Linked DNA regions of Lonchura striata. Each later gene encodes a partner of the first gene's protein in a complex. Links are inferred from orthologs where the notes say so. Each region holds a gene or a part of one and is shown on either strand. Other genes may lie near its edges. The genes, in order: KIDINS220 and XPR1.

Region 1 (15,447 bases):
TAAGTTGACAGCACCAGTAGTACTACTGTGCCAAATTTATACACACATAGTGACAGAAACTGAGTCACTCACTGCACCTAAATTAAGTTTCACTGGATGCAGAATAGGGCCTAAATACAAGACTCCACCACACTTTCATACCTTTCTCCTCACCAGTGGCTGACATGATCATACTCTCTGGCTTTTTCCTGTAACAGCAGAGGAAAACCTCCAGTTTAGTCTTGGCTAAAGACTACCTCTTAGGATATTCTCTCCCAGGGAGAAGCCAAAGATTAGTGGCTTTCCAAAGCAAATATTCTTACTTTTATTCTCAAATCAAAGCAGACAATGAATTTTTCTGTGCTTCCATTGAAAAAAAGGAGATGAGAGGAAGTCAGCAAGAACTTCACTGTGCTTAGCACAGAGAAGTTAGTTTAGATTTGGAGAGTTAAATAAAATAATCCAGTTCCACTTTAAATTGTTTACATAGTCTGTAACAACATAGTTTCACCTTTACCAAGTTAAGTACATATAGTCATACATACTGTTGTCAGGGTATGTTAGATACTACCTGAGCTCACCTACAGTACTGCAACCATCAGATGACCCACATACAGAAATGTCTTGTTCAAAATAAGGCCAGGTAATACCTCAGTTAAGATGACAGCAGATCTCTGTATGTGCAAATGAAATTCAGGTGCCCATGAATGTCTAGTGACGAAAGAAACTACAGACACTGTTTAAAACCCACACCTAAAACCAGTAAAAAAAAAAGAAAAAATCTAGACTTGATACATAAAGCCCAGCAGCAGTTTTCCTAGGCACTGCCCAAGCAGCCAGTCTGTCCCACAAAAAAGCTATAAATAAACTAAGACCACAAAAGGGCTGTCACGTTTACTGTACAGTTAAATTACCATCAAAGGGAGTGAGCAGCACAACAGTGGTGGGATATGTTTGTCTGCATTTTTTTTTCAGTAGGAAGAGCCAACTGAGAGGTTGCAAACTTAAAAACAGAAAACCCACTAATCACCCAAACTACTAAAGGTTTGAAAATAAATGGCAATTTTACTGACTCAGTGCGGACACACTGGCTCCTACTGCCATTTCAGACACTAAAAATACCAGGAAAGTTAGCATGTTGCCTGGCATCCAGCTGCCAGTCCAGGACAGCCCACCACCCTAACAGCTTTCAGCAGCATCTTACAGCCCTATGCAGGTGTCTCAGATATTCTCAAGCACTTAAAATTACATTAGATATTCACACACACCTGTATTCCTCCCTTATTTTCTATATAAGGCAAAAGAAATCCATGAAATGTCATTAGCTGCTAGCTCTACTGCTACCATAGGCATTTTTTGCTTTTCCTGTGCTATCTCCCAGCTTCTCTCCTGTAGCTGTACCACCAATTCCCATGCTATTTTCCATACCAAATACTAAATTGAGAACTGTATTAAGAACATCCCCAAAACATTACTAAAAATGTCTCCCCAAATGATTTATACTCTGCAGTTGCTATCAAAACTTCACTAATGAATTCTTATCTAGTGTGAAAAGAAAGCATTCAGCATTGCTTCTTCCTCAAAGTAAGATTTCTCCCTTGATGTTCCCTGTGGGCATATTCCCAAAAGGCAGAGGCAGCCCTGCTGCACTGTAGATAAGCATCCAGCTTGCTTCAGAAATCCCAATTGGCGACAGTGCAGCTTCTGCCTTCAAGCAGAGCTGAATCCTTAGGGACAGCTTAAACCTCTGACTGACAGCAAAATACCTGATGCCAATGAACATGTCTAGAGATGTGTTTATAACCTCCATGGTAATGTTACTTCTATAAATTATAAAAGATTTACAACAGTGTAACATATCCAAGAATGTTTCTTGTCCCCTGTGTTTCACTGTCACTTTTTAGAATTAATAATAGTCTATTTTATAAAAACAAGAATCACAAGATCAAATATTATAATTATGCATTTTATATCCTCATGCTTTTATTTTCCCATTTTCAGGAAAGCTTAGAGCATCCTAAAGATTAACATCACTGGAGGGAATTAGGAAAGCACAGTTTAGGGACAACAACCACCAACCAACAAACAAACAAAACTCTCCCCATCATTCCAGAAACAAAGATGAATTTAAAAATAGTGGTATTAAGGTTTTTGGAAACTTTGCTTTATTTCTTTCCCAGCAAGAACAAAGAACATGCCCAAAATAAGCCTGACTGGGTCTGTTCATTATATACTCATGACAGCAACTCAACATCAGCTGAATGCAGTCACACTCCACCTTCTTATTATACAAGATGTATGTTATTATGTTATGAAAATTAGGCATTGTACTCAAAGGGGTGCTGATCACTAAAGTGTGATTTCTTCCAATGCTTCAGATTTTCTTTTAAATAATCATAAAAACTGAAAGCAAGACTCTGAGGAACAGTTGCTGGCTAGAGAAGTAATTCTGCTCTGGTCCCTCTAATGAAGAAAGGTCCTGAAATATATATCCATATGGTTTTCAAACAACTCTGGAAAAAAAAGAAAACTCTAAGTCTTACCCTTGACCAAATTAAAGGATGAGAACTTCATCCCTGCCAAATTTCATAAATACAAGTGCAAAACCAGTATCATTCAAGAACATCCTATACATAAGTGGTCCTTAATTGCTCAATTAACACATTTACTTTCTTTGACACAGCAGAAATATTTGCACAACCTATAACAAAAATTTCAGTTAAAACCAGGATTCTATTTGGAAACCAATCCCCTTTCCAATAAGGATAAATGGGTTTTTTCTCTCCCACCTAAGTGAGCTAATTTCCAGTGCAAAAAAAACTGCTCTTTAGTCAAAATGCAAACTTTCAAGCTTGGAAATCTCACAATGCCCTTCGGCAGCAAATCCTGATATTTTATTAAACTAATAACACACCAAGAACTATGAAATCATATAAAGTGCACAAATGCTCAGGTGAAGGCAGTGTTTGCACAGGGATTAACCTGGTTTTGTAAGGCTCTTGCATCCTCAGCTGAAGCAGACAAACATTATCACTGTTTTCGACAGACTGCAAAAATTTGTCAATTAAAAAAAAACAAAACAGTTTGTCTCAACAACAGCAGTATTGACAGCAGAGGTCCTGATAACCCAAATCTGCAGCTATTTTATGTATTCTCAGAACCTCTAATGAGTTCCTAACTATATAAGAAATATAACTCACTAAATTTTCCAACTATTTTCTAGCAAAAATTCTAGCAAAAATTTTCTAACAATTTTTACATAGATCTTCTGCATTTTTTTTTATTGTACAAACAGCTACCTTTTACGAATAAATATCAAAACTGGTCAACAACTCTAGCATTATTGAGAACACCTATTGAAAACAAAAAAAAATAAAGTCAAGATAGTAATGACATTAAATTTGCAGTTTTCATCATACAATGAAGAAACTGTTGCCTACTTTTGAGTGTCTCCTTCCTTTTCCAGACACAAAAGCCACCTTCCCAACATGCAACACTGCGGCAGATCTTTCAGCTAACTATAAAAGGAAATAATTATTATGCTGCTGAAATCTGAGCACGTACAAATCAAATGTGTAAATGCACAGCATTTCACCCTTAAGAACTGGAAGTGCCATCTTTTCAAATTAGAATTAAAAGAACATGAAACATAAGAATTGTACACATGAAATTTACTATAAAAAACTAACACAAGCCAGTTTCATATTCTCACACATTTTTATGCTTTATGATGGTGTAAAGAAATTGAAAACATGCTGAAACATCACCTTTACTTACAGTACACAGAATCTTACTAACACAAGCATTGCCCAGCCTTTACGACACCTTATTGAAATCCCTTCCTAAATTGATATACTTCCTACACATGAACAGTCAGGCATCACACAGAGTGGCAAATATCTTAAAATATTCTTTCTATTGGGACTGAGTCAACCAGGAATCTGTTTAAAGAAGAAATTTTCAGAACAGCTGAAATGAGTCTCTAAAAATATTAATTTCTGGTATCCAGAGTCAGAGAGAAATAACAAATCTAAGTTTCCATAAGTAGTCTACACCCACACTTCTTCTCCAGTGTCTGAAATTCCAGTGTGACTAATGACCTTATGCTGCATTTCTGCTTTTCCATATTTATCTGGGAATATTTATTCTACTTCTCTTAACCACATTTCTGTTATCCAGGTGAGATTTTTTAAATTACCTTATTTTTTGTTACTTTATCACAAAGAACATAATTGTGTAATCCTAAAATACCAAAAGACACAAAAAGTGAACTACAGCTAGACACGCATTGTTCTTATGAGACCAGAAACCAATATAACCAAAAAAAATGGCACAAAAGGAGGTCTCTACGGTAACCATCAAATCTGCACACAGTAAGAAGTAGAAGAAATTGGAAATACACAAATCCTTTTCTACCTTATGGACTCAAGGCAACAGCCATTTCCAAATATTGTAGTGATGGATTTTTTGTTTGTTTTAATAAAACAAAAGAGGCTGGGGATTACATATAAAAGACTGCAAAAATGTAAATTGATATTTAAAATGCAGGGCTGGTTGTCAGATGATAGCAACTATTAGACATGCCTATGTTCCACCCTGGTTAAAAAAACCAGTTAAAATAATGTGTGAAGTAGCTGACATGAGGATTTATATTTTATCAGAGAAATCTGTCCACCTTCGAGACAAAATTTAAATATGGTCAATGAACAGTAACATATTGCCAAGAACATCTGAATTCTAAGACAAAATTCAGTTCCTAAACAAAATACAAGGTGCTCAGTCCTACAAATCACAATTTCAGGTTTTAAATACATAAGATCAAAGAAAGCAAACAGTAAGTTTCCAATATTAAGGGGTTTCTTAAAATTATACCAACCAATACAAAACAATTGTCAAAATCTATACAAAATACACAAAAGCACAAGAAACCCTGCAATCACACCTTACAATCTCATATGGCCAACACGTTTCTCTTTATCATAAAATCAAAGGTTTGTTAGTCACAGAAACAATATGACAAAAAAATTATCTTTTGGAGTGCTTTCCACTTAAAAAGAGTGAACGGTGTGATACAGAACTTTAATATGGCACCATTTCAGAAGCTGTGGTCACACAGAATTTCAAGCAGATATTAATTACCTAATAACCAATTAATTTTAAATAAACACTGTGGCAGAACAAAGAACAGATGCCTATCCAGTAGACAAAAGATGGGTTTTCTTACACATTAAGATCTTCTGTTTTTCTGTCCATTTCTTTACTGTTTGATGGTGGTGGGGGGGAGTGTCAAGTAATTAATCAGGTAACGATTCAAACACTTTTCCAGCAGAAGACATATTACTGTATTATTCCACCATTAATCCTTTACCCAAAGTTATAGAGAGGAAATCACTTTTCCAACCAATTTTTAAGCATATATGCAAAGTGGCAAAGACCTTTAAGACATTTTGCTACTCTTCCAGTGATGTCCTATGGCATGACCAGAGGCAATGGGTAGAAACTGAAACACAGAACCAATTAAACTGAAAAGGCCTCTGAGAAATCACTGAGTCTAACCTGCAACTGAACACCACTATGTCACCTAGACCATGGCACTAAGTGGTCTTTCCTTAACCACCTCCAGGGTCAGTGACTCCAGCATCTCCCTGGGCACTCCATTGCAATGTCTAACCACTCATTCTGAGAAGCCAAATATCCAAGACGAAAGTCCCTCCACACACCTTGGGGATACATTCTCTTGTCCTATCACTTGTTACCTGGGAGAAGAAGCTGATCCCCACTTGGCTACTTTCAGATAGTTGTAGAGAGTGATAAGGTCATCCCTGAGTCTCCTCTTCCAGGCTAAACACCCCTGGCATTCCCTTGGCCTCTCCTCACGGGATCTGTGCCCCAGACCCTTCTCTGCATTCAAAGCAGTCTCTGTCTGAACATCAGGAAGCGCTGTTATTGAGAGGGAGACCCAGCACTGGCACAAGTTGCCCAGAGAAGCTGCCGAGCCTCCTAGAGACACACCAAAGCCCTCTGGGCACGGTCTGGGAGACCCATTCTTATTGTCCCTATTAGAGGAGAAGAACTGGACCCTATGACCTGGGGAGGTCCTTCCCATCCTCAGTCATTCTGCTATTCTTTACCTTCGAAACAAGATGCCAAAAACTTTCCTGGCGAGTCGAACCCTCATCTACCTTTCCGAGTCAACAAGAGAGAAACACGGTACACGAGGCTCCCCACCCCAGGGCAGGGGTGCCGGGGAGCCCAGGCCGTGCCCGCGGCCCCGCGGGGCGGTGCCGCCCACACCGAGCCCGCTCCGCCCGCGCACGGCGCCGCCGGAGCCCCGGGATGCCCGGGGCAGAGCGCGGCGGGCGCGCCGCCGCTCCCGACCCGCGGCCCGGCACTGAGGGGACCGGGCCGTGAGGGGAGCGCCCCGCGGGCCACAGCGGCCATGAACCGCCCGAGCCCGGCGCCTCCCCGGGGCCCGCCCGGAGCGGCCCCCGGCGGCCTTTGTTTGGCAGCGGAGCGCCGCCTCCCCCACAGCCCGTGCCCTTCCCCTGCCCTTCCGCGGCCCGTGCCCCCCGCCGTCCCGCCGCTACTCACCCCACGGCCGGGCGCACTCGGCCCCTGCGGCGGCTGCCCGGGCCCAGCAGCAGCGTGGCACGGGGGGAGGCGGCGGCTCCGAGCGCCGCTCAGCTGGGCCCGGCGGCGCCCGCCATCTTCCGCCGCGGCGCTCCGCCCGCCCGGCCGTGACGCGCGGGGCGGCTCCGCCCGGCTCCGGCCGCGCCCGGCGGCAGCAGCGGGCACCGGCACCGGCACCGCGGGCGGCGGCAGCAGCGGGCACCGGCACCGGCACCGCGGGCGGCGGCAGCAGCGGGCACCGGCTCCGGCACCGCGGGCGGCGGCAGCAGCGGGCACCGGCACCGGCTCCGCCCTGCCCGGGAGCGCCGCGGCACCGCCGGCCCGGCGCGGGGCGGCGCAGAGGGGGCGCGGCTGAGCAGCGCTGGGCAGCCCGGGGGTGGCACCGCCCTGCAGGGCCCCGGCTGCTTTCTGATGGAAACAGGGAAGAGGTAGTAAACAACTGGTGCCTGATTACGGACTGACTGGGGAACGAGAGGCTGGAAAGCAGCGCCGCGGAAAGGTATCTTACCTTGAGCCCTGGGGGCAGTTTTGGGCACCACAGTATAAGAAAGACATTGAGCTGTCAGAGAGCGTCCAAAGAAGGGCAGAGAAGATTGTGTGAAGGGCCTTGAGCCGGGGAAATACCAGGAGTGGCTGAGGTCACTTGTCTTATTCAGTCTGGCGAAGAGAGTGAGGAGAGGCCTCATTGCAGTTACAGCTTCAGGACTGGGAAAAGGGGAGGGGCAGGCACCGATCTCTCTCTCCTCTGTGGTGACCAGTGACAGGACCTGAGGGAACAGCAACAGGTGAGTTGGGAAGTTGAGGCTGAATGTTAGAAAAAGGTTCTTCAGCCAGAGACTGCTTAGCACTGGAACCAGCTCTCTGGGGAAGTTGTCAGCACCGAGGCTGACAGAGTTCAAGGGTTTGCACAATGCTCTCAGGCCCCTGGTGTGACTCTTGGGGTTGTACTGTGCACGGCCAGGAGTTGGACTTGATAATTCCGATGGGTCCCTTCCAACTCAGAATATTTTGTGCTTCTGTGATTTATACACAGAAGTTGTGTCCGTAACCTCCCAAGTCCAGCTCCATCTTTATGGCTGGGTTGTCATTTTCATACAAATTACATAATCCCAGCTGATTTCTGTGCATGCTCAGGGGAAGGGTCTTCACCTGGGCAGGGTCTTTCTGAACTTCATGAGAGCTTTTTAGTATAATAATGAAGATAGACCAACTATAGGATTCATGGACCTTGAGTCTTTTGCCAAGGTGGCAACATATACATAGACATACATCAACGTCTTGATTTACTTGTTAGCTCCAGGATGTCCTGATTAAGGGATACTAGCTGCTGTCTCTTCTACTGATTATGTCTCCTTTCTTGCTGAGTAGACTTAAAAGTATATAAAGACCAAATATCAAGTACATCCTGATTTAAGATAATTTTGACATAATGCACATTTTGCAATACCACCACATGCCTTGAGACCTACCAACTTCTTGCAGACTCCCCAGAACCCAATGTCCAAGTAGCTTCATGGGTATTTTTAAAATTTCCATCTTCAGCACAGTCCAAATCCATAATGGATATGTTTAATTCATATGGACAACTGGATGAGAGATGATCTCTGATGACTACACCAATGACATATCTCCAGGAGATCACAGAACCTTGCCTAAACCAACGATGGCAACAAACCAGCCAGGGAAAGGAGCATAGTACCCACAGTACTGCATATTTCTAAGGTTACTGAATTTCAAGGGTCAAAGCAATCATATAATTCTTTACAACACTGAGATCTTCAATCTCAGTAAAGAGCCATGACTCTTTCCTTCTTAAAGAAACATCTGATAGGGCTTGCTCTACACCCCAAATATTTATAAACCAGAAACCATGCAGCAAGGGCTTTGCCATTTTTTAAGCAGGAATTCTCCAGTGACCTTAAAGTCCTGATAAAATATACAGCTTCCTTACCTGCTCTAAAGTTAATACAAAGCAAAGGCACAAGCAGTGAAATTCAAAAGCTAAATCCATTTAATCTTGCACCCAAACATTGGTTCAGCTGAAAAACTGGGAAAAATTAAGTACATAAAACACATTCTCCTTCTTTACACTAATTTGCAGAAAAGGAATGTGAACAAATGGAGGATGAGTCCCTGCAGTTAATGTGGGGCTGAAAAGGGCTCTCTGCACCACCTGAACATATGCATAAGGGCCACTACTCAAGGAAGAGTGGTCCTGATGCTTCAGGCACCCATATAATCTTGTGCACCTAAGAGAAACCAGTCTAACAAGACTGCCTGTGTTAGCCTCTTAAGGTTTATAGATTTTTAAACATTTTCAAGAGGTTACCCTTTTTTCACACTTTATACAGAAATGTGTATTAGTATCTCACTTCATAATCTCCCATCACCCAAATCCTTATTCCCATATCACAGTGTTCGCACCCATCAGGTGTTAGCTGTGTTCTCACCATGTAGTTACAAATTTCAGGCAGAAACAGTAGCTCCTTCCCTTCTGCATAAAAAGGAACTGTACAAACACTGTGAATGTGGAGGCAGAAAAGGCAGTTTTCTGTACAGTCCTTCAATCATGCACTTTTGCTACAGATGGATCCAGCTACTAACATCCTTGTGCTCTTCTAAATTTTACCCTATGCTTAGATGAGGAGCAACACTTTCCCACCAGTGACTAATTCACATATGCAGTGAAACATGGTGCAATTGTTATTTATTCAGTTTGGAAAAATCATGTGCAGCCCACATGGAGAAATAACTCCTTTGCTACTATATATGACCAAAGAGCTGTAAGATGTACTGCCAAACTCTGGACAGATCTCCAACTCTCACCTAGTGGTGAGGTTGAAGGCATCTCCTTCTAGAACTATGTCTGTATTCCATATTGAAACATCCTGCATGTTATCAGGAAGTTACTGAGATGGAACTAAGTTAATTATAGGCACAAGAAAATATCTGCTGGCTCCAGGATGCTCTCAATTATGACTCCTTCTGTGCAGCAACTTAACAATTTACAACACTTAGTAGCAGAAAGCTGTGTTTTAATATCTTCAAATTAGTTTTTCACTAAATGCAAGTGTTGAGTTCATGAGGACACTTCATACTTCTGACTGACTCTGTTGTGAATGCGTATTTGAGAAGGCAATTTCCATTGAAGTCTAACTTCTGGTTAAAATGACAACACCAGACCTTCTAAAAATGCATCTGTAGTCCATTGTGTTGGAATGGCAAGTATTTTCATCTCCTGTGATACCACTTGCTAAAAGAGAATTCTAAACATGGAGAGAAAATTATTCACTGTGAGACAGGAAGTTATGAAAACAGCCCCTCTTTAGTAGGGACACCTAATATCTCTCATCTTCTCCAACAATCTAAGTTTACATGGTAAAAACCTGCAGGTCCAGGAGTCTCAGCCAGCTTTGACATACTGTCACCAGCCAACAGAAGAAACTGCCTGATCAGAGTCCTGGTAGCTGAGTTTCAAAAAGACGAAAAACGTGCACGTATGGTACACATTTAGCCCTGCTTTGGAACCAGCAATTAAAGCAACAGCTTCTGCAAAGCACCAAATTTGATTTCTCAGTTATGAAGTTTCCATTTCTCAAGCTAAAAACACCCCAGTTGTCATATCCAGAAGTAGCACTCATTGGGTAGCAACATGCTCCCAGATGGAGGGTTTAAATTGCTTAAGCACCTTTCCTAACTAACAAGAGGCTAGACTCATAATTCTGGTCGCTAGCTCTACTGAAAAATAATTATATACATATACTTGTGTATAAGCTCTACAAAACAAACTAAATAAATGTAATTTTGAACTAGAACATTCCAAATAAGTGTAAATGCATGCAATGTGTATTTAGCAATCTAAAATGAGAAAATGCATTAAAATAACTTTGTTCTTCACCACTCACTAAAGATAGACAGCAAAGAATTTAGTAAAACAAGTTCACTTTTTTTAAACTACAGTTTAATCAGATTTAAAGACACAAATTAGAAAAGAACATTTATAGGCAAGTTAAAAACACCTTTAAAACATAACAGCATGCTGCTTCTGCAGCACTGCTGAGACAAATTAGAAATAAGTAATTATTAAAATATCACAATCACAGTGTAACTAACAATGGTATTTTGATTTTACCATACATCAACACTTAGTTTATGGATTTGTTGAAAAATAACACTTTTTAAAAAATATATATTTTGGAATAATAAAAATTAAATTCACTGACAATGTATTATAATCTGAACCAGGAAAGGCAAATTTAGGAATACTGTAGCTATCCACTTTTAGGGGTGTTCTCTCACCTTTACATACGGGTGGTTGGAAGCATAACTACTTCTGCATTGAGGTAAACCTATTCCTTTGAATGTGTAACCAAGGCAGGAAAGAATAAAGTTCCATATTTTAAATTCTTAAATTGAATAACTTATTACAACATCTTTGAATAATGCTATATTACCCATCTTACACTATTTTTCATCCAATACATTTTGAATGTTCTCTTCTAACTGATCTAGAACATATCTGAGGTCTGGGATTTAAGAGTAACTACCTAATTACTATTGTAGCATTTTGACACCTTTGTCACAGTAAGACACATCAGCAGATTCTCCACAGAAATAGTCAACACCACTGGACAAAAGAAGGTACAAAGAAAAGATGTAAAGAGAACTGAAAAACACAGAGAAAGGCAAAAGATGCATAGGCAAATACTCCTTAACTTATTGTAGTAATTGTTGCACCTTTAATAAGCAGTGTTGCACTTTCCGATTACCAGTCTCTAGGCACCCCATTTTCTCTATTTGTTTCAGAATACATACACTGTCCCTGTTTTCAAGTCTAATTTGGCTAAAGCATGGACCCCAGCTATCTATTCATATGACGTATTACAGTGAAACCTAAATGAAAATCCAGCTTGGGGTACCTTCCCGTTAGAGAACAAAAGGAAGGAAGAAGATTGTGCAGAGGTCTCTTTTGCCAAGAGGTTTGCTTGGAATAAGGTGCTGGACTGAGTCACTAACAAGACAAAAACCAGAAGTAGCCCTACCTCAGACCTCAGTCTGAAGTCACACAGTTTTTCAGTTCAAAATTTATGCAATGTTTATATGGATATGTACACGGGTTCAGAAAATCTAAAACCATCTACAACCAAAACCAGGTCTAAGTCACTGGACACACAGCTAATGCACAAATGATGATAAAGTGGCAATATTTGCTTTTGCACATTTGTATACCTACACTGAGCAAAATTGTAGTTTAAATATTTAATGTGATGAAAATGGATACATTTGGTGGTTAGATTTTGTAAAAAAACTACAAAAAGCCCATTCTGAAACAAGTTTTTAAGAAATCTTTTTTTTATTTAGCTTTGACCATAATAAACAAGTGTTGCAGTATTTGTTATTGTAACTTTGCAGGGAGACTTTGTGGATGCCTGGATTTCATGGTGTTTGCAAAATATCAAGATTAGAACAGCAAACATGTCAAAAATCCAGTCAGATGTAGTATAGAGCAGCTGCAGCCTGGGTCACAAGCAAGTAGAACCTCTGCCAAGCTCTGCACACAGGGTTAGCTCCCTGCAGGAATTGTGGCAAAGCCTTCCAGGCACAGATGGAACATGTTCTAACCAGAGATTTCTCCACTGCCATCCTTTTCCACCAAGACTCTGAGGATGAAGATGGACAGTGCAAACTAGCTGTGGTGCAGACAGACCTGGTAATCTTATGAGAGTAGGCTCAATTCCCTAGAGTGCCTGCTTACTTATTCAGAGTAGCATTTAAATACTTACTGAAATACTTATCAATTGATTTTTAAACAGGAAAATTTAAAAATACACCAAGTGCAGTTCAGAGTATTATTGGACCTAAATAAATACATAAAGGTCAATCATGTAGTTAAATGCTGTGATGAATCAGCACAGAACTAGTGTGTATTTTTTTATACATAGTCTACATCATATTAAAATCCTCAAATTTATTTCTGTTTTTCTAACACTGATCACTTTTCTACATAGATGGTAGTATTTCAAATTTTCCAATGAAAATCAAATTCTCTAGCCTAATTTCAGAATTCAATTAGAATTACAAAGTGAAAGAATTAAAGATAAGGGAAATGAAAGCCTAAATTATAGTAATTTGTGCTTTTAAATGTCTTTCAAGGCCAACTTATAAAGTTGAACATGTGAAAGTTCACATGTAAGCAAGTTACACATTTTTATACAAACGTGAAGACACATTTGACCATGTATTTAAACAAATTGTCAACAATTCATTTGCAAAGTTTGAGAGAAAAAAAATCTAAATTTTGTTAAAATTACTTTTGATATGAATTAGACAGGAGGTGATGATCTCAAACATCTCCTCTGCATCAGAAGACATTTAACCACTATCCAAATCAATGCCATCAAAAGAGGCAAAACTACCTAATGTGCATCCTGTCATATAAGCCTAGCATTTATTTTAATATTACTTATTCCCCTGGGGGAAACAGAACAAGTTCTTCAGTGTAAAATTCCTCTAATAAATAATTTACTATATTGGTAAAACTTATACCGTATATCAGTGTAGAACAGGGAATATACCAAGGTCTCTTCATGTTATTCTCACTAAAGTGTGATTTGTTATGAAGAACTTATTGAAATGCATACCAATATTTTTACATGTAATACATTTTCAAATGTCACCAATGACTGAAATTTTGTCTACATGACAACTTAAGGAATGACCAGGGAAGAATACATTTCCCAACTAAGAAGGGCATATCTGTAACTGCAAAGCTAAAAAGCCTTTTTGATTACTACAGTAGTGGGCACCACTGAAAGTATTATTTAAATATGTAAAATATATCTCTCTCATTAATACAGAATCATAAAAGTTAAAAAACATTAAGCAAGCAAATAGTTACTATCGGGGTGACTACATTTACCAACTAACATTAACTCATTAACTGCCTGAATGAACTGTTCACAATAGGCAAATATCTGCAAAGCACCATAAACTTATGAATGATATGTTGCATTTACTTTTCATAGTGTGCTGATCTGCAATACAGGAAACACTTTTACTTTTGGATATACATTATTTAATAAGTGAAAGAATACTTTTAAAACCATGTTTCCTTCATGTCCAAAACATTTATAGGAAATATACTTTCTACAATTTTTGTCAGGAAGAGCAATAAAAATCACTGCCATCCTTTCAAATTCAGTATTAACAAATGGTGTGTGTAAAACCTAAAAATTATCTAAAGCATTAGGGCTGGCTGCTCTTGACTTTCTGACTGCATGGATAAAAAGGATCCAGTGTGATAGCAAGGCAGAAAATGAGTAAAGCAGAGGGAAAGACATCAAAACTCCAGTCTGACTAAAATCAGGGTGCCGCCATTAAAATAAACCAGTTTTTTCCACAGTCCTCAAGAGAAGTCATTCTCACGAAGAGCAGATTTTTGTTCAAATACCTAACAGTGGCACTTAAAGGGTAAATTCCAGGACACTATACTTAAACTCTGTGCATAATTAATTGTCATAATTTTCTTGTGTGCAATTACTTAATGAGTTCAAATCAGAAATAAAAAAGTCATGTCCAGTCTTGAAACCTGTATTTTGCCACCTGCTCTCAATGAAAGTATGTAGAGTTGTGTTCAGCAAAAGTATGAATGTATTTTCTTCCTTGTTTCAACTTCCATACATAAAGAAGTTCTGAAAAAACTGTACCTCTGAATTCACTCATGTTGAAGTATCAGTCTGTACTACCCTGTATCTGCTCACTTTCTGGGAGCCTTTACAACTGTTTCCATATTTCATAAAGAAGAATTAGTAAGCCTCCACAGCACACATGCCAAAACAGTAAATCAAGAGTATGAGAAGATAAATAAGAAAATAGCACATCACATGGCATGCAATTAAATAGTTCTGGAGACTGCACCAATAAGATGAATTTAAGTTCAAGAGTAACCAATGCTGAAAGAATCAATCCTATTTCTACTTACCCACCCAGAAATGTGCAAATCTTTTTCTGTTCCTTTATGTAAATGCCCCTTCAAGTGCAGAATGCAAAAAAATGTCTTTCCTGATTCTGTATTTAACAAGGATGATGAAACAAACTAGCATACTCTTACTTATTAACAAAAAGAAAACCATAATGTGGTGTCAAAGAAGTGTATGACTACCATAACCCCATGTTAGGGGAAGTCTACCTGGGCAATCAAAGTAAGGATTTAGAAGTCAGATTTTTTTATCTTAAAGATAATACAGCTGTCACTGAAACAATGAACATCCCTCCTCATCTGAACAGACTAATCCACTCTCATTTCATATTCAGTTCACCCTTTCTGAGTAGATTAATTAGTGCTAAACTACATTTATGGGAAGTTATGTCCTCTTCCTCCCAGAGTTTTAGGCAAGGAGCCAAGGACCAGAGAGTTATGACAGCAAGGAAACAACTCTGACCTAACTTAGGATATAGTCCTTCAGGGAGTACTGTGATGATTTCTGCATGGCAATATCCCCAAAGCTGGGGATATATCCATCATTGCACTTCTGGTAGTAAGACTACTCATCCAACTGGAGCTAGATATTTGATGAAAACTTTAGGTTTCAAAATATTATGACAAAATTTTCTCAATAATTTGTTAGTTATTAATCAACCAGCTGCATTATTTTTCTCTGCTATTATCTTGTAGCTGCTTTAAAATTAAGAATAAACCCCACATGGATAAACAGCTTGTGTTTACTTAAAAAAATTATATGAAAATACAGAATATATGCAATTAAAATGTAGCCCTTTAACAGTAGTACTCTAGCACTAACCATCATCAAAATAAATGATTGGAAATAGATATAACCA
Region 2 (15,726 bases), on another chromosome or scaffold:
AGAAATATCTCAGCTCTAAGTTTTTTGGTTTGGAGCAGCCAGATGAAATGTTGTGTGTATTCTGTTTTCTAAATGGAAATTAAAAGGAGAAATTTTGGTTTGGTTGACCTAGAGTATTTTGTTTGGTGTGAAGAAAACACCACAACATTTCTTTTTGTTTCATTTTATTCAGCTATACTTAATCTATCCTCTTTCCTTTTTTTTTTTTTTTTTTTTTTTTTTCATCCAGCAGGAAAATCTGGCTGTTGGACCTGGAGAAAAGGAGTGTCAGGGGAGACCTTATTGCTCTCTATAACTCCCTAAAAGGAGGTTGTGGCCAGGTGGAGATCAGTCTGGTTGCAAGAGACAGGATGAGAGGAAATGGCCTCAAGCTGCACTAAGAGAGGCTCAGGTTAGGAAAACATTTTTCAGGAAAATGGTTGCAAATGCTGGAATAGGCTGCTCAGGGATGTAGTGAGGTCACCACACAACAACCACAGCAGAGCCCTTAGCTGTGAAACAAATCCCACATGGTTTTTTACTGAAAAGAATGAAAGAAAAAGTCACTTCTTATGTGTGGGGTTTTTCACCAGGATAATGATGAAATTTAGCTCAGTTTTGATGTTTCAGTTGCCCAGAAATTTTGTGGAGAAGACAGAGCTGAGGTGTTCAGCAGGAAAGCCCAGCTGAATTTGGGCTGCCACTTGCACACTGCCCTCAGCTCACATTGAGTGAATAATGCTTTTATTTGTCACTGCCCTGTCACTGCAAGACTGTGGATGTCCCTCCTTCCCTTCTCCATCTCCCCAGGCAGGGTTCTCTGCATGCCTCGGGTACCCAGCTCCCAGATTCCCTGGCAGCTTGCTGGCCACTGCTGAGCTGCCTGGAGCACACCAAACACCCCCCAGGCAGGAGATCTGGTCTGTGCTGCTGGAAAGAAGTGCCCAGCAGTGATCCTGCTGGGATGCTGTCCCCACCTGCCCCCCACCCTGGCCTTACCCGGGGGCACCAGGAGAGTTTCTCCCCAGTGAGTGCTTGGACCTGCTGTTCATCCCTGCAGAGCCCCTGGATAATCCCCTGTCCTCTGTCCTCTCCAGGGAGATGAACACCACCAGATGAGCTCTCCTTACATCCTGCATCCCTCCCCAAACCCTCCTTGCTCCCACATTCTTCCCTGGAAGCCTCCCTGCACTGGGGCAGGGATGCAGCTCTGGAAAAGCTGCTCCTGCTGCCGGCTCAGCTCTCCTGCAGCGTGCAGAAATGGAAGGGAGTGCCTGTAATTGCAGCTGTCAGGAGTAACAATCACAGGGCTGCTGTTATAAATGGCTCCAGCCTGACTTTTACTTACAGATTTCCCTCACGTGATGCCACGAACCACAAAAGATAAAACCTGCACCACAGAAAGGTAATTTCAGCTTCTGGCTCTGTGGAGGGGGATTTGTGCCTTGTTTTGGCTGTAAAATAAAGCAGGCATGGTGTGTTGGGGAGTTTTCATGAACAGGGTGGGACTGCTGGGGTATGTCTTTGAGTTTTATTTGCAGCATCAGCCTCATTACACGGTTGAGACAATGGAAAGATGGCAAAAGCTCACGTACAACTAGCAGTAGCTAGAGATTTATTTGCTGCAGAGCATTTTAAAAACTTTCTGGCCAACAGCATATTGCCAAAGCTTACAGATAGTTGTTCTAGTTAATTACTAAAAGCACACCTACACCTGCTTCACACAATGCTTGCTTGTCTGCTCTCTATTAACAATACACAATACACAAGTTCAGAGTTTTCTATTCTTTCTCTTTCTAAAGCCAACTTTTCCCAGCTTTCTAAAAATCTTATTACCTTTACTATTTCCCACAGCATGGCTTGGGCTGCAGGTCAGCATGTCCTGGTGGGGCTGGGGTGGCTCAGAAGAAGGGGACACCCAGTGTCTCCTCCACGTCACCCTGCAGGGGCTGAGCCCAGGTGTGAGAGCCCCTGCCCATTCAGTGGCCCCTGTTAGCCAGAGAAGGGTTTTAGGCTAATTCCTGCCAGATTTGTAAAAATTGTGATGATGTCTGGAGACAGAGAGGATCTGCAGGGCATGGGGGTCTCAGGCTGTGAGGGTGACCCTTGCCAAATCTGCTGGCATTGCTTGGAGGCCTGAAGAAATTCCAGGGAGTCCCACATAGGTGTGGTTTGTTCCAGGGCTAATTTCTGTGGTGAGGACAAAGCCAGGCTGTGTCTGGCTCACAGCTGCCATCAGAAACCAGAGATCCAGCAGAGCATGGAGCTCCCAGCATGGACTTATCCAGAGCTGGGATGAGAACCCACCTGATGTGCTGCCCTCTCTCTCTGCCCTGATGGCACAAGGACCTCTGGAACACATCCCTACTTGCTTTAAATGATTGTTTCTGATCTGACATCTGTCCTGAGGCTGCAGGACCTGGACCTGCATGTTGTGGTACCTGTGGATGATCCAGACTCAGCCCTGGTGCATAAGGAAATGATCCTGAGGTATGTGATTTCCTTCTCCAGGCCAAATGAGACCTCCAGGGAGGAACAGACAACCTAATGCTGTCCCAAGAGATGTCCCAGCTGACTGGAGCACAATGTCTGGCACCTGCAGCCCACTGGGGACATCAGCAGGAGATGAAACCCTAAGGATTCTCTTGACTCAGGGCTCAAGCTAGGCAGGGTCAAGCCAGGTTTGGCAGGAGCAGCTGTTCTTTCCCTAAAACCACAGGATCATTCAGGTTGGATAAACCTCTAAGACCACTGAGTCCAACCATTAACTCAGGACTGCCTTGTTCACCACAAAACATGTTCCTAAGCATCACATCCACACTTTTTTTGAACAATTCTAGGGACCTGGGTTCTACCACTGCCCTGGTTTGCCTGTTCCAGTTCTTGAGCACAATTTCAGTGGAGAAATTTTTCCTAATATCCAATCTAAATCTCCTCTGGAGCAGCCTGAGGCCATTTCCTCCAGTCCTGTCAGAGAGGAGAAGAGATTTACTCCCACCTGGCTATAGCCTCTGACCACAGCCCTTGCAAATAGGAAGCCTGTGGCCTTTTGTGCACTTTGATAAGGTCCAGAGGTCGTTAGAAAACCCACAAAGCTATGTCAGGATTTCCAAAAACTCTTAGGAAGTCCAGCCAGCTTTAGAAGTCTCTGCCACAGCTATTACCACACACCTCAAGCTCTCTGGCACTCAGTTTTCATTGTCATTATTGACACACTGGATAAGAGACACAAGTTCAATGCAGAGAATTGCAGTGACATCCTCCAGCATGTACCAGCTCTGGTGTCACACAGGGACATGGGCTGCTCTTCCCAGCAGGACCTCTCACACGGCATGACCCCAGTCCTTGGCTGTGTCATGGGAGTGGCACAGGAAAGAGGAGTTCCCCCAGCTTTTTCACTGTGCTTGTGGCAGCTTGGTGCCTGCAGCATCGATGCACCAAGAAATGCCAATATCTTGTGTTTCCAGCACAGCTTGCTGTGACTCTGGTGTGACAGTGGCACTGGCTGTGTGACCCAGCAGCAGCTCCATGGATGCTGTTTCTCATCCCAGGTCACCTCCATTCCTGCTGTTTGGTGGGTTTCCTTCACTCCCCTCATGTGGTGTATTCCCCTGGGAAAGGGCCAGCGGTCAGGGAGGCAGGAGTGTGTTTAACAAGGCAGGTGAGATTGGTGTAAACAGGACAGGAACGGTCCCAAGGCCACCTGGCACTATACCAGCCCCTGTTCCCTGGAAAACATCCCAAAGGGATAAGGGTCTGTGCTGCTCCAGAGCACGGTGGGGTAATCTATGCATGGTGAGGTGCAGTGGGGACAGCTTCAGCAGGGGGATTTAGTAGTGCAGCAGTCCTGGAGATGGATCAGGGATGCTGGAGGCACTTCCCAAGCTCTCCTGGAAGCAGCCCAGGCAGCCCTGGGGCTTGGAGGAAGCAGCTCTTATTTCTTCTCTAGTTTTAGACCTTTTCAGTGCGTTCAGTTTTCTTAACCACTGGTCAGCTGCTGTCTTCTCACACAAAGCAAGCGTGCAGAAATTAAAGCAGGCACGTATATGTGGGTTGGAAAGCATCCAGGAGCAATCACTTACACACCAGGGAAGGGCGTGAAACCCCCCCCATCTGCTCCCGGATTGAGGCAGCACAGCGAGTCCCCAGCCCTGGCACAGCTCCCAGGGGCTCATCCCAGCGGGGCACGCTGCGCTCCTGGCAGCCCCAGGGCAGGGAACCGCCGGGGAGGAGGGCTGATTTCGGAATTTCCAGGCAGGATGCTGCCGAGGGGACACGTGTGAGCTGCCAGGAGCTGCCGGGAGTCAGACCAGGAAAGGTCACCCGGTGCAGAGGCAGCTCTGCTCCCAGCACAGGGCACGCTCCTGGGAAAAGGGAGCTGCTTCTTTCCCCCTGTAGCTGCATCCCTGAGTGTTCCAGCAGCAGCCAAACCTATAAATGGGTTTCCAGTCAGGGCGATGTTGTTGCCTGGTGTTGGGACTTTTAACCTCAGGTGTGTAGCCACGCATGGGAAAAATCCTCTCTTGATGATGTGCAAGCTCAGCAGGGCATGGTTACAGCTCACAGACCCATGTCTGCATGAGCTGCCCCATCCATGTGGGGAATTTTGAGTCCTAAATCCACATCTGAGATGGACTCAAGTCCCAAAGGATCAAATTCAGTCAGTCAAATTCAAATTGACCCTGCTGCATCCAAGGTGGAGGAAAGCACAACCCCTCCTGGCAGGTCTCCTCCTGAAACAGGGAGAAAAGCATCATCTTACCCACCTTGGAAAATCTGCAGGAGCTGCCAAGGCAGTGTGTAGAAGAAGATGGATGGATACCAACATCCCTGCCACTGGAATCAGATCAATCCACTGCATTATTATGTCCTGGAAGCCACTGTTTCCCCTGGCTTTACAGAACTTCCTGCAGGCGGCTAACCTGGCTGTATAAACACTCTGCTCCCAGTCTGACCTTGTGCACTGCCTCTTCCCTGGGGTCTGGGACCCCCCCAGCTTCTAGTGCTCATCATCACACCCTCATTCGTGCTCCAGGGAGAAGAAATATGAGAAAAATCAATAGCTCCAGCTCAGGGGGATATGTGCATTTTTGCACTGGGAAATCTGATATATCGACCCCGTTCCTCAAGACAGCCATCGATGGAGCTGGTAATGGGAGGGCTCAGGGCTGGGGGTTCCAAGGCCAGGGCTGATGCTCTATTGATCCTGGCAGTCAGGGCAGCTTCTCTTGGTGTGATTTACTCAATTCTCTTGTTGTTCCACATCAAGCTTGTTCCCAATTTGCTTTTACGTCTGTATTTATTTATTCCTTGTTTTCCTTGCCAAGCAGTGGCAGTGAAGCCTCTGGGTCATCCCTCTGGAGCAGGAATCCCCACATGGGCAGGGCAGGGCAGGGCAGGGCAATGAAGGATGCAAAGAGCAGCGTTTGGCCCTCCTGATGCCTCCCCTGCCTCTGCACCAAGGCTGGGATGGTCTACTGCTCCCAAAACCCTGGGATTGGGCATTACTTCTTTTGTTTTCAGTGGAAAATTGACTTTATCTGCTCAGATTCCACGGATGTTGAATGACAAGGGAATTTAGGGCATTTTGTAAATCACACCAATCCCCCTGACCCCATGGTCCAGGCTCAGCCAATCCTGCTCTGCTCATGGGGCCAGGGATGGTCATGCACTTCCTCCCATGCCAAGTGGAGCCCCTAAATATCCAGGCATCTTAAAATCCTTTTGCCTGGGGAAAAGGTGGGAGGAGGTCCATGGGTTTCTTGCATTGTCTCCTGTGATGGAAAACCCTCCTCTTTGTGATTTTATGAATGTCAGTAAAGCAAATTTTCCCTTGGCAAGACTATTTTTTCTAAAGCCTTTTTTTTAAGACTTCTTTTCCCCAGCGATGCAGAAGCTTTAAAAGTATAATTATATATTTTAAAAAAATCCCACCATGCTATTTATAAATTATTCTATATGCTCCCAACAAAGCAAGTGCCAGACTGCACTGGCGGAAAGCCCACTCCTTGCTTGGTTTTAAAATGCAAATAACATTGCTTCTGTGATTTTTTTTTTCCTAACTACAACAGCATGGGGGAAATCACAATGCAAACTCTTTCCTGGAAAAAGGAGAGAGAGAGATGAGGAAAACGTGGCAGCCTTGTGCAAGGGAGGTATGGGGAGTGAGATTCAGACCTGAGGTACAGAGACTGGGATCCAAACTTGGGCTGTGGGGACAGAGATCCAGACCCAAGACTAAGATTTTTGGGCCCAGCATCCCTCCTCAGTGCTGCCTGGATTCCCCCTGCCTGCCCTCCACCCAGCCGTGGGCGGAAGGCAGTAGAGGCATGGAAGAGTGGTGGCCTTTTCTCTTTCATTTAAGGCTTCTCCTTGCCCTCTCTCCCTTCCTGCATTCCTCCCCCAAGCCTGGATGTGCAGACCTACGAGTTTTGAAACCTTTAGAGGAGTTGGAAAGCCCCAAGTCCCAGCAGAGCAGTGAAACACGAGGATGCTTAGTGTGGTCCCAAGGGGTATCTGATAACGGGAGGCAGGGATTTGCCAATCAGATATTTGAATGGAGCTGTTTCTACTGGGCAATGGTGAGCAAAGAACCCAGCTTCTGCTCTGCCTCCCCTGTTACCATCTGTCTTCATTTAATGATAAAAAAATAGCATTTATTGATATAAAATAAATAAAGGGTGGGGGGGATTGCTGGTTATTTTCCATCATGAAAATCACCAGCTGTCGTATCAGAAGACATTAATTTATTATACACCCCAGTACGTATCCCAGGCAATGCCTCCCGCAAATAACAAAGAGAATATTTATTTCTTAATCCTCTTTTCTGCCCCCCCCGCTGCAAGTTATCTCCGGGAGCCCGACAGGATTCAAAGGGTCGGGCTGTGACATGCCAGCTGTGACATGCCAGCTCCCCGGGGCTGGAGCAGGCTCGGCCCGGGGCGATGTCACCGGTGTTATCAGGCACAGCTGATGCCAAGGTGAGGCATGGAAAAGCCACTGACCTGCGAAATGTAAGTCAAGCTGTGCCACTCGTGCCAGGGCCAGCGCCGGGCAGGCTCGCTGAGCGCCAAGCGTCGCAGCGAGGGCACGAAAGCTCCGCTCGTTTAAAGGGTTTGCTGCAAGCGTAATTAAGAGATGGTATCAGCGAGAGCCAGGCGAATCTCAGCCCTCGCAAATCACAGATCCCCGAGCCTGCACAGGACCCCCATAAATCTGAGCAGCAAACGAGCTCTGCGGGTGTCAGGGGGAGGGATGCTCCGGCAGCTGCTGCCAGGGAGGGACCTTGTGGTGCCGAGGGGATGGGATCGGCCCTGCCGAGGGTGGGAAAAAGATGAAAACTGTCACACCAAAGGTTGGGAGGCTTGAAGGAAACCAAAATTCATTTCAAAGGAGGTAAAGCCCCAAAAACAAGCAGCTGGGGAGTGGCAGGGTTAGGGCCACTGAGGATCTTTGGGATAACCAAGGGTTGCAGCCCCCTGCCAAGTGGCTCCAGTTTGGTCCCTCAGGCCATGATCCAGTGGGTGCCAAATCCCCAGCTCCAGGGGTGTCTGTTCCATGGCAGACATGGCCCTGTGCAGGTGGGTTTGCTCCAACAGCTGCCCTGGAGTCCCTACTCCCCTCATCCCAGCCTGGCACTGATGGGCAGTACAAGGGCAAAGGCGGTGGAGATCATGCAGCTTTTGGAAAATTTTCCCTTTCCTCTCCACACCCTTTATTTTCCCCTCTTATCTTTCTTTCCCTTTTTTGCTGGTCTCGTGTGGCCCGTCAGACCAGCTTCCCTTCTCCCTCAATCCTTACTTACTCTTTCCTGCAGTTTCTCCTATTCTTTCTCCCATCTTCACCTCTGTTCTCTGTCTTTCCTCTCCTTGATCCCTTCCCATTCTGCCACTTCTTTTCTCCCATGTGCACCACTCTCCCTGCTACACTTCTCCCCTTCTCATCCCCTTCCCATTTCACCTCATCTTCACACCATTCCCTTTTCATCACATCCCGTCCACATCCCATCATATGCTAATCTCATCCCATCCTATTCCTTTTCCAATACCATTCCAATACCATTCCCATTCCCATTCCCTTCCCATCTCATCCCTGTCCCCATCCCCACTCTCATCCTATCCCATCCCATTCTCATCTCCTTTCCATCTCATCCCCATCTCATTCCCATCTCCATTCCCATTCCCATTCCCATTCCCATTCCCATTCCCATTCCCATTCCCATTCCCGTCCCCATCCCCATTCTCATTCCGTTCCCCTTCCTGTTCCCATTCCCGTTCCCATCCTCATTCACCTTCCTGTTCCTATTCCATGCTCCTGTTCCCATTCCCATTCCCATTCCTATTCCCATTCTCGTTGCCATCCCCAGTTGCATGCCCGTTCCAATCCCCGTTCCTGTTCCCATTCCCATTCCCATTCCCATTCCTGTTCCCATTCCTGTTCCCATCCTCGTTCACCTAACCGTTCTTATTCCATATTCCCATCCCCATTCCCATTCCCATCCCCATTCCCATTCCCATTCCCATTCCCATTCCCATTCCCATTCCATATTCCCATTCCCATTCCCATTCCCATTCCCATTCCATATTCCCATTCCCATTCCATATTCCCATTCCCATTCCCATCCCCGTCGCAATTCCCATCCCCATTCCCATCCCCATCCCCATTCCCATTCCCATTCCCATTCCCATTCCCATTCCCATTCCCATTCCCATTCCCATTCCCCGTTCCCGTCCCCGTCCCCGTCCCCGTTCCCGGACATCCCCGCACTCCCGGGGCTCGCGGGTGACGCTCCCGCGCCCCAAACCGGACCCCGACCGCGCGCGAACCGCGGCGCCCCCCGGCGGCGAGCGCGGGAACGGCGCGTCCCGCGGGCGGAGCCGGGCGCGGGCCCCGCCCCGGGGCGGCGGTGCCGGGGACGGGCCCGGGGCGGAGCCGGGTTCAGGCCCGCCCCGGGGCGGCGGGGCGGCGGTGCCGGGGACGGGCCCGGGGCGGAGCCGGGCGCAGGCCCCGCCCCGCGGCGGTGGGCGGGCGGCGGTGCCGGGGCCGCGCGGTGCCGGTGCCGGTTGGCTGCGGGCGGTGACGGCGGGAGGCGGTGGCGAACATGGCGGCGGCGGCGGCCGGGGAGGCGGCGGCAGCGGCGGGGCGGCGCTGAGGAGGCCCGAGGCGGGCTGAGGAGTGGCGGGGCGGGCGGGCGGGGGCCCATGTGCGGTGGCGGCGGACCCCCCCCGCCCCCCACTACCGACGCCCGGTCGCAGCCAGGCGCCGCCGAGGCGGCTCTGCGGGCGCGCAGCGAGCGCGGCCCCGGCCCGCCGGCAGGATGAAGTTCGCCGAGCACCTCGCGGCGCACATCACCCCCGAGTGGCGGAAGCAGTACATCCAGTACGAGGTACGGCCCCGGGCACCGGCCCCGCGCCGCGGGGCGGTGCTGATGGAGAGGCGGCGTGTGCGTGTGTGTGTGTCCGCCGCGGCGGGCAGGCTGCGGCGCTGGGCACCCCCCGGCCGTCCGCTTCGTTAATTACGGAATTAATTACCGCCCGTAAGCTCTTGCCGGGGGACGGAGGTCCGGGCACACGCGCGGCACCGGGCACCCCCCCGGCCCCGGCGGGGGCTCGGCACCAGCGCCGGTTCCCGGAGGAGCGGTGACTTTGAGCGCTCCCGGCCTCCCAAGGGCGATCCCGCTGGGCTGGGCAGCTCCCGGCGCCCTCCCTGCCCTGCCGGCGGCCACCGGCACCGCTCTGGGCTCCCCCGAGCCCCCCAAACTGGCTCCGAACCCCCTTCAACTCCCCGAGCCCCCCAAAACTGGCTCCAAACCCCCTTCTACTCCCCGAGCCCCTCAAAACAAGCTCCAAACCCCCTTAAACTCCCCGAGCCCCCCAAAACTGGCTCCGAACCCCCTTCAACTCCCCGAGCCCCCCAAAACTGGCTCCGAACCCCCTTCAACTCCCCGAGCCCCCCAAAACTGGCTCCGAACCCCCTTCAACTCCCCGAGCCCCCCAAAACTGGCTCCGAACCCCCTTCAACTCCCCGAGCCCCCCAAAACGAGGAAGGCAGCAAACCTGCATCAGCTCCGGTTTTATGATGGTTTTTAAGTAAGGCTCTGCAGCTCGCTGTTCCACACTCCAGTCGGGGCGTTTATGAGCACTGTTTGCACCAAGTTCTGCTGCATTAATCGTGAATTATCTGCAGAACACAGCTTTTTCGGGCTTTATCACGGCAGCCTGCTAAAGGTCATGCTGATTGCTTCGTTTCGGATTTATCACACCGATTCTGGGCTTGGTTGGAACTGGACGGAGCTGGAGGTGGTTATTTGTAGTAAAACCATTTCCTATTTCAATGTCAGCAGTAAAAGTGGCAGGTGCCAGCGATGTCTTTTCCACAAGTAATAATTAAATCTAGACAACGGAAAGCTGATTATAGGACAGCCACGATCAGCAAAACTTCTTGACTGATTGACTCAGTGAAAACCACGCAACATTTGTTGTTGTTTGAGGGCCTGTATTTTATCCCTAGGACTATAATAGCAATTTATTTATGCTATCCATATTAATCTGTCTGCATTGGCAAGGAAAGCCACATTTATCTTAGCTTGCTTTGTTATAATGTCGAGCTTGAGAAGTTTATATCTATCCTTTTCATTCTTCCTTTGTTTTCCTTTACCTGACTGCAGAGGAACGGATGTTTAAATAAAAGCTGCAGTTGGATTTGGCTTTACAACAATATTGTGATCTCCTTGAATTATGTGGAAAGCTAGATGGCCAGATAATGCTATCAGTCTTTGAGGTGGAGGAAAACCATTGTCCTGGTAAAATAAAGGGCCAGCTTAGTTCCGCATCGTGTCTCTAATGGGTTATCCCTGTGAGAGTTGTCTTCTGTTCCTGAAAACAGAAAACTTGGGTATCTTCCTAAGAGCAGCTTTGGAGATGTGTTGGAGAGGAAGGCAAAGGGGAAATAAAAGGGTGAAAGATCTAGCTGCATGCTGAGCAAACAGCTGTGCAGAGAGGGGAAGGAGACCCAGTGAACTACGACACCTCGATTAATGTGTGAAGAGCTCTGCTGCTCGTCGGCCGCTGTTTTCATTATGGGAGGTTAATTTTCAGCCGTTTTAACTAGGGCACTATGATTATGTCATTCTCCCTTCCTGCAGCCCAGTTTAAGATGTAGATTTCAGTAAAAACTTCCTTCAAGTCGTTGCTCTTTCTAATCACAAGTAATCCCCTCCTTGGATAGACAGCTTAATGTGGAGTGAAGGAAAATACCAACCTCACCTTCCCTTTCAGTTATAACTTTCAAACTCTTTGTTTGCCTTGTTGCAGCTGGCTGGATGCGAGTCAGCCTCCTGCTTGTGCATATTAGACTGATGGAATAGCCTGGCATTTATTATTCAGTAACTGGTGGTCGAGTGGGTGCAGTGCATAAAAGCCCAGCACCACCTCCATTTACTTGTTGATTATACCTGGAGCAAAAAGCACCCAGCCTTCCTTTGTCCAGAAAAATTCCCAGGTGTTGATTGGCAACTGTGAGGGTTAAACTTTGCCTGTGTTACTTGTGTGCAGTGCTGCTTTACAGAAGGTGTCACAGTAACATTTTCAAAGGTTATTTGTATATTTAATAGTGTTATAATGTTTCTTCTCCTCACAGTTTATATGTTTTCCTTCTTAATTAACACAGGAACCACCTGAGTTCAGAGATCTTCTTGGGTAGGTTTTTAACTCTGAAAAGATTCTTCCTGTTTCCAGGATTTCACATTCAACATCACAGAATTCTGGAATGATTTGGGTTGGAAGGGACCTTAAAGATCATCTTGTCCCATCCCCTGCCATGGGAAGGGGCAGCTTCCACTATTCCAGCTTGTTCCAAGCTCCATCCAGCCTGCCCTTGGACACTCCCAGGGATCCAGGGGCAGCCACAGCTTCTCTGGGCAACCTTTGCCAGGGCCTCCCTACCCTCAGGGAAGATTTTTTGCCTCATATCTGATCTAAGCCTGCTGTCTTTCAGTTTGAAGCTGTTCCCCATGAGAGGACTAAAAGATGATGCAGAAATTGCTTTCTCTAAGTCGTTCTGTATCATAAAGCTTACACGCCCTCATCTTTATTTTCCACTCTGGTATTTGTGGTCATTTCCACTGGAGAGCAGGTGATTCCTGGAGCCTGGCAGGACCCAGGTAACCTGTGAGATCCTTCCATGGGATTTGGAGCAAGCTTTGCCTGTCAGACCAGGTGTAATCTGTTGGTGATAACCTTGGAAAGAGGAATGGGATTGTTGCGTTTTCAATACCTAAAAGTGTAGTTTCACTTTCAGGTGGTGTTAACCAATTGACAGCCCTCAAAACTTCTGACCATCCACATGCTCTTTCCCTCCAAAAAGAATCAGTTTAAATATTCTAAGTGTGCTTGTAGGAAATGTGGTAGTTGCCTGAGCTTAGGGCTGGCAGTCAGGGTGAGAGCTTTAGGGAGAGCAAAAAACATTCATTTTCTTTAAACAGACATAAGTAAGATATATTTTGGTATTATTTGCTTTCAGTAAAAGCTCTGCAGTGACCATTACTGTACGTCTAAGCTCTTTGAGAAGGAGCACTTGGTTTACAGAAAAGAGGGAAAATGGCAGTGAATGCTATTCTGTTTCATTCAGCTTTTCCCAAAGACATTTACCATGACTGAGCCAACAATAATGTGGAGCTTTAAACCATGATGGACTTGATTTGGCTTTCCATTCCAAATTTCCATTCTAAAGATTGCATGAAATGATGTGGATGTGCCTCACCCTGGCGGCAGCAGTGGAGGGCTTTGCTCACCTTGTTTTAGGGGGTCTGGCAGTGCATTTTCTTCTGTAAAGTGAGTCACATTTTCCTAGCCTGTTAAACTACAGCTGTGATATGCACTGCTTCGGTGTACATTTTTGCCTTGAGAATTTTGGGCCACTCACTTACCCCTCAGTTCCTTTGGAAAAATATGAAAATGAAAAAAATGGAAAACAGGAAAAACATGAAAACAAACACAATCCCAACTTTTTGTGTCAGATGACTGAATTCTCATTTCCACATAGTACTGAACAAATTCAGGTAACTCTTGCATGAATTTCAGCTGATGCTTTCTTTTTTTTTTTTTTTGGCTAGGAGTGTGCTCTGCTGCATATAATGCTCATTTTTGATGCAGGGAAATATTTGGGTTGCTAGTCCTCTATCCAGAAATCCTCCTGGGTTCCTTTGCTCTCGTGTCCCTCTCTGGATTGCTTTCAGGAGGAGAGCATTGCTCAGACTTCTAAATGTAAATGTGTATCTGCACATCCAGCTGATGGAACTGTACAACTCACTTGTCCAGTTGCCAGATGGCTGTTTGGTTGCAGTAAATCTGGCCTGAAATTGTTTCTCAGCAGAAGTTTGATGGCATTTTTATAGGAAAAATACATAATACCTTTGAAATCACAACAGCTGTGGAGGGAGGAGCAGAACAATTATTACAGGTGCAAAGTTCATGGGAGAGTTGGGTAAAGGTGTGAGCAGGTGACCTCCCTTCCCTTTTTTTAATGGTTTTAAGTCATTTTGCTGTTGCAGAAGAGGAACAGGTTGCTAAGTTTTAGGCGACATTTCTCCCAGACACCACCTGCAGCAGGAAGTGGGTGGGGGCAGAGGATAGCTGAGGTTGCCTGCTTGCCTTCAGAGTGTCTCTTGCAGAAACGCTTTCAGTTTTTGGGAGGTGGCCAATTCTGCTGTCAAACCCAGCTTCATGATAGGCAGTTCACACCCAGGCTTGCCACCTCCTGACACAAATCTGTTGTGCTATTTCACTATTTGTCCTTCGGGCTGTTAGCAGACGAGCTAAGTGGTTTGAAAGACTCCTTTAAAACAGTGGGTTGTTTTTTTTTGAACGTTTTAAGGTTTTTGTCCTTGATTTTGTTCACTGATAAGGTCTAATGGTTGCATTTTCAAGTGTTTTCTTTTTGCCTTTTTTTTTTTTTTTGTTCCCTTATATGTATTTACACAAGTTGACTGATGGTGTAAGGTGTAGCACTGGCACAATCTAAAGCAGGGAAATAACCCATTTTGTTTAGTTTGAGGGCACAAACAGTAATTCTTGAATGTTTCACATTGACAGTGATGGATAACTTTTGTAAATGATCGGTTCTAAGATTCTGTAATCTAGAGGACTAAATAGTTTAGGTGTGAAGGAGCACTGAGTGTTTAACTTTCAGGTTATTGGTTTATTTATATAGGTCAGGAAAGCAGTAACAAAATCTGCTGCCCTGCAGCTGCCAGATTGTACTATGTCAGTCTGCATGGGGAGAGGTCTGTGGGACGACTGACACCTTCAGCTTTCAAGATTATTTAGTGCAGGACTGTCAATGTTGTCCTTTGTAATTTGTGTTTTTAAAAAATGACTGATAAAACCAGAGATAGGCATTATACCGGGTTTACCTCTGGTTAAGAGATGAGTTGTTACTACAGTGACTTTCAATATGCTGTCTCTTCTGGTTTGTTTGTCTTGTGTCACGTCGTGGTTCATGGAAAAAGTTACAGGTAGGTGAGGATGATGACTGGGATGGAAAAGGAGGAAGATTTTTTGGCTATTTGGTGTGCAGAGACAGATCATGTGCTGCTGACCAGTGAGTCCTGGGGGGAAGGGACTGAAGTGGCCAGTGCTCCTGAGCAATTTTAGAAAAGCACCAAGAGCAGAGGAGAGCTGTGCTGCTGGCATGAGGATCATCCAGCAGTGGCTCAGTTGGGAAAACAATTATGCAAGTGACCTTTGCTGAGACCTCTGTGGACTCAGGAGCCAGACCTTTGGGAGATGCCAGAGCTGCCGGTGTAAGCAGCCACCTTGGGTATCTTGTGATAAACAGACTTGTCCTTTAGACCTTGTGTTTACCCAATGTGTTACAACAGCATTCAGTTCCCTGCTGCTGAGCTGATGGTTTTTACCTCCAGGGTGTTGGGGGATTTGTCATTTAACCTAGGAGGTTTTATCCTGGGGCACTGTGACACACACCTCTGCTTCTGCTATCTTTTGGGGTTATGGAAGTATGGGATATGCTAAGAATCAGGCAGAATAGATAGGAACTGAGAAGACCTGAATTACTTTTTTTGTTTTACATTTCTGTGGGCTCAAAAATGAGGGAATAAGGTCAGTTTTTTGTGGTGGTGGAGGAGGGTACTCATGTTCAGTATGGGTATTAAGGTGTGAGGTGTGTATAAGCAAATCACTTTGCAGTAGGAATGGGTTCTTTGCTCTGGCTTTTAGTTCCAAAGTTATGGCTAAGGTTATTCATGAAGTCCTAGAATGCTTTGGGTTGGAAGGGACATTTAAGATCCTCTTGTTCCAACTCCCTGCCATGGGCAGGGAAACTTTCCACTAGACCAGGCTGTTCCAACCCTGTCCAACTTCAAGGGATGGGGCAGCCACAGCTTCTCTGGACAACCTGTGCCAGGGCCTTACCATTCTCACAGTAAAGATTTTTTCCCTTATATCTTACTCCAACCTGCTTCTGTCAGTTTGAATCCATTTCCTCTTGTCCTGTCATTCCTGGCCATTGTCCAGATGTTCCTCAGTTCTCTTGGAACCCCTTTAGGCACTGGAAGGGGCTCTAAGGGCTCCCTGGAGCCTTCTCTTCTCCAGCTGAACACCCCCAGCTCTCTTACCTTGTCTCCATAGCAGAGGTGCTCCCACCCTCTGAGCATCATTGTGACCCTCCCCTGAGCTCACCTCATTCCTTCAGTCTTTGGTCTGAATTCAGTTTATGTGGATGTGAGTGAGC

Evidence for each region.
Region 2: the proteins of KIDINS220 (region 1) and XPR1 are in contact, whole or in part, in a cryo-EM structure (PDB 9JXQ), measured with the Homo sapiens proteins. The link is inferred for Lonchura striata from reciprocal best matches to the Homo sapiens genes KIDINS220 and XPR1. Residues at the interface, in NP_065789.1 of Homo sapiens: Glu36, Cys37, Gln39, Asp70, Trp72, Met102, Trp105, Trp110, Tyr113, Lys114, Val138, Ile142, Trp143, Gly146, Arg147, Ser166, Asp167, Lys168, Tyr169, Gly170, Trp176, Arg179, Lys180, Gln198, Glu199, Gly200, Ala201, Ser203, Lys234, Arg267; in NP_004727.2 of Homo sapiens: Leu95, Lys189, Lys190, Gln193, Glu197, Ala200, Asn204, Glu205, Ala636, Asp637, Asp638, Leu641, Leu642, Gln644, Met645, Met646, Asp647, Gln648, Asp649, Asp650, Val652, Arg653, Asn654, Arg655.

The regions. Positions count from the first base shown.
Region 1 is NC_134605.1:98,452,108-98,467,554, forward strand, and holds the start of KIDINS220 (kinase D-interacting substrate of 220 kDa), read right to left. Parts: upstream 6,702-15,447; 5' UTR 6,571-6,701; intron 6,230-6,570; exon of another isoform or gene 6,111-6,229; intron 1-6,110. UniProt on the Homo sapiens protein: Promotes a prolonged MAP-kinase signaling by neurotrophins through activation of a Rap1-dependent mechanism. Provides a docking site for the CRKL-C3G complex, resulting in Rap1-dependent sustained ERK activation.
Region 2 is NC_134611.1:2,182,893-2,198,618, reverse strand, and holds the start of XPR1 (solute carrier family 53 member 1), read left to right. Parts: upstream 1-9,206; 5' UTR 9,207-9,295; coding exon 9,296-9,364; intron 9,365-10,034; exon of another isoform or gene 10,035-10,414; intron 10,415-15,726. UniProt on the Homo sapiens protein: Inorganic ion transporter that mediates phosphate ion export across plasma membrane.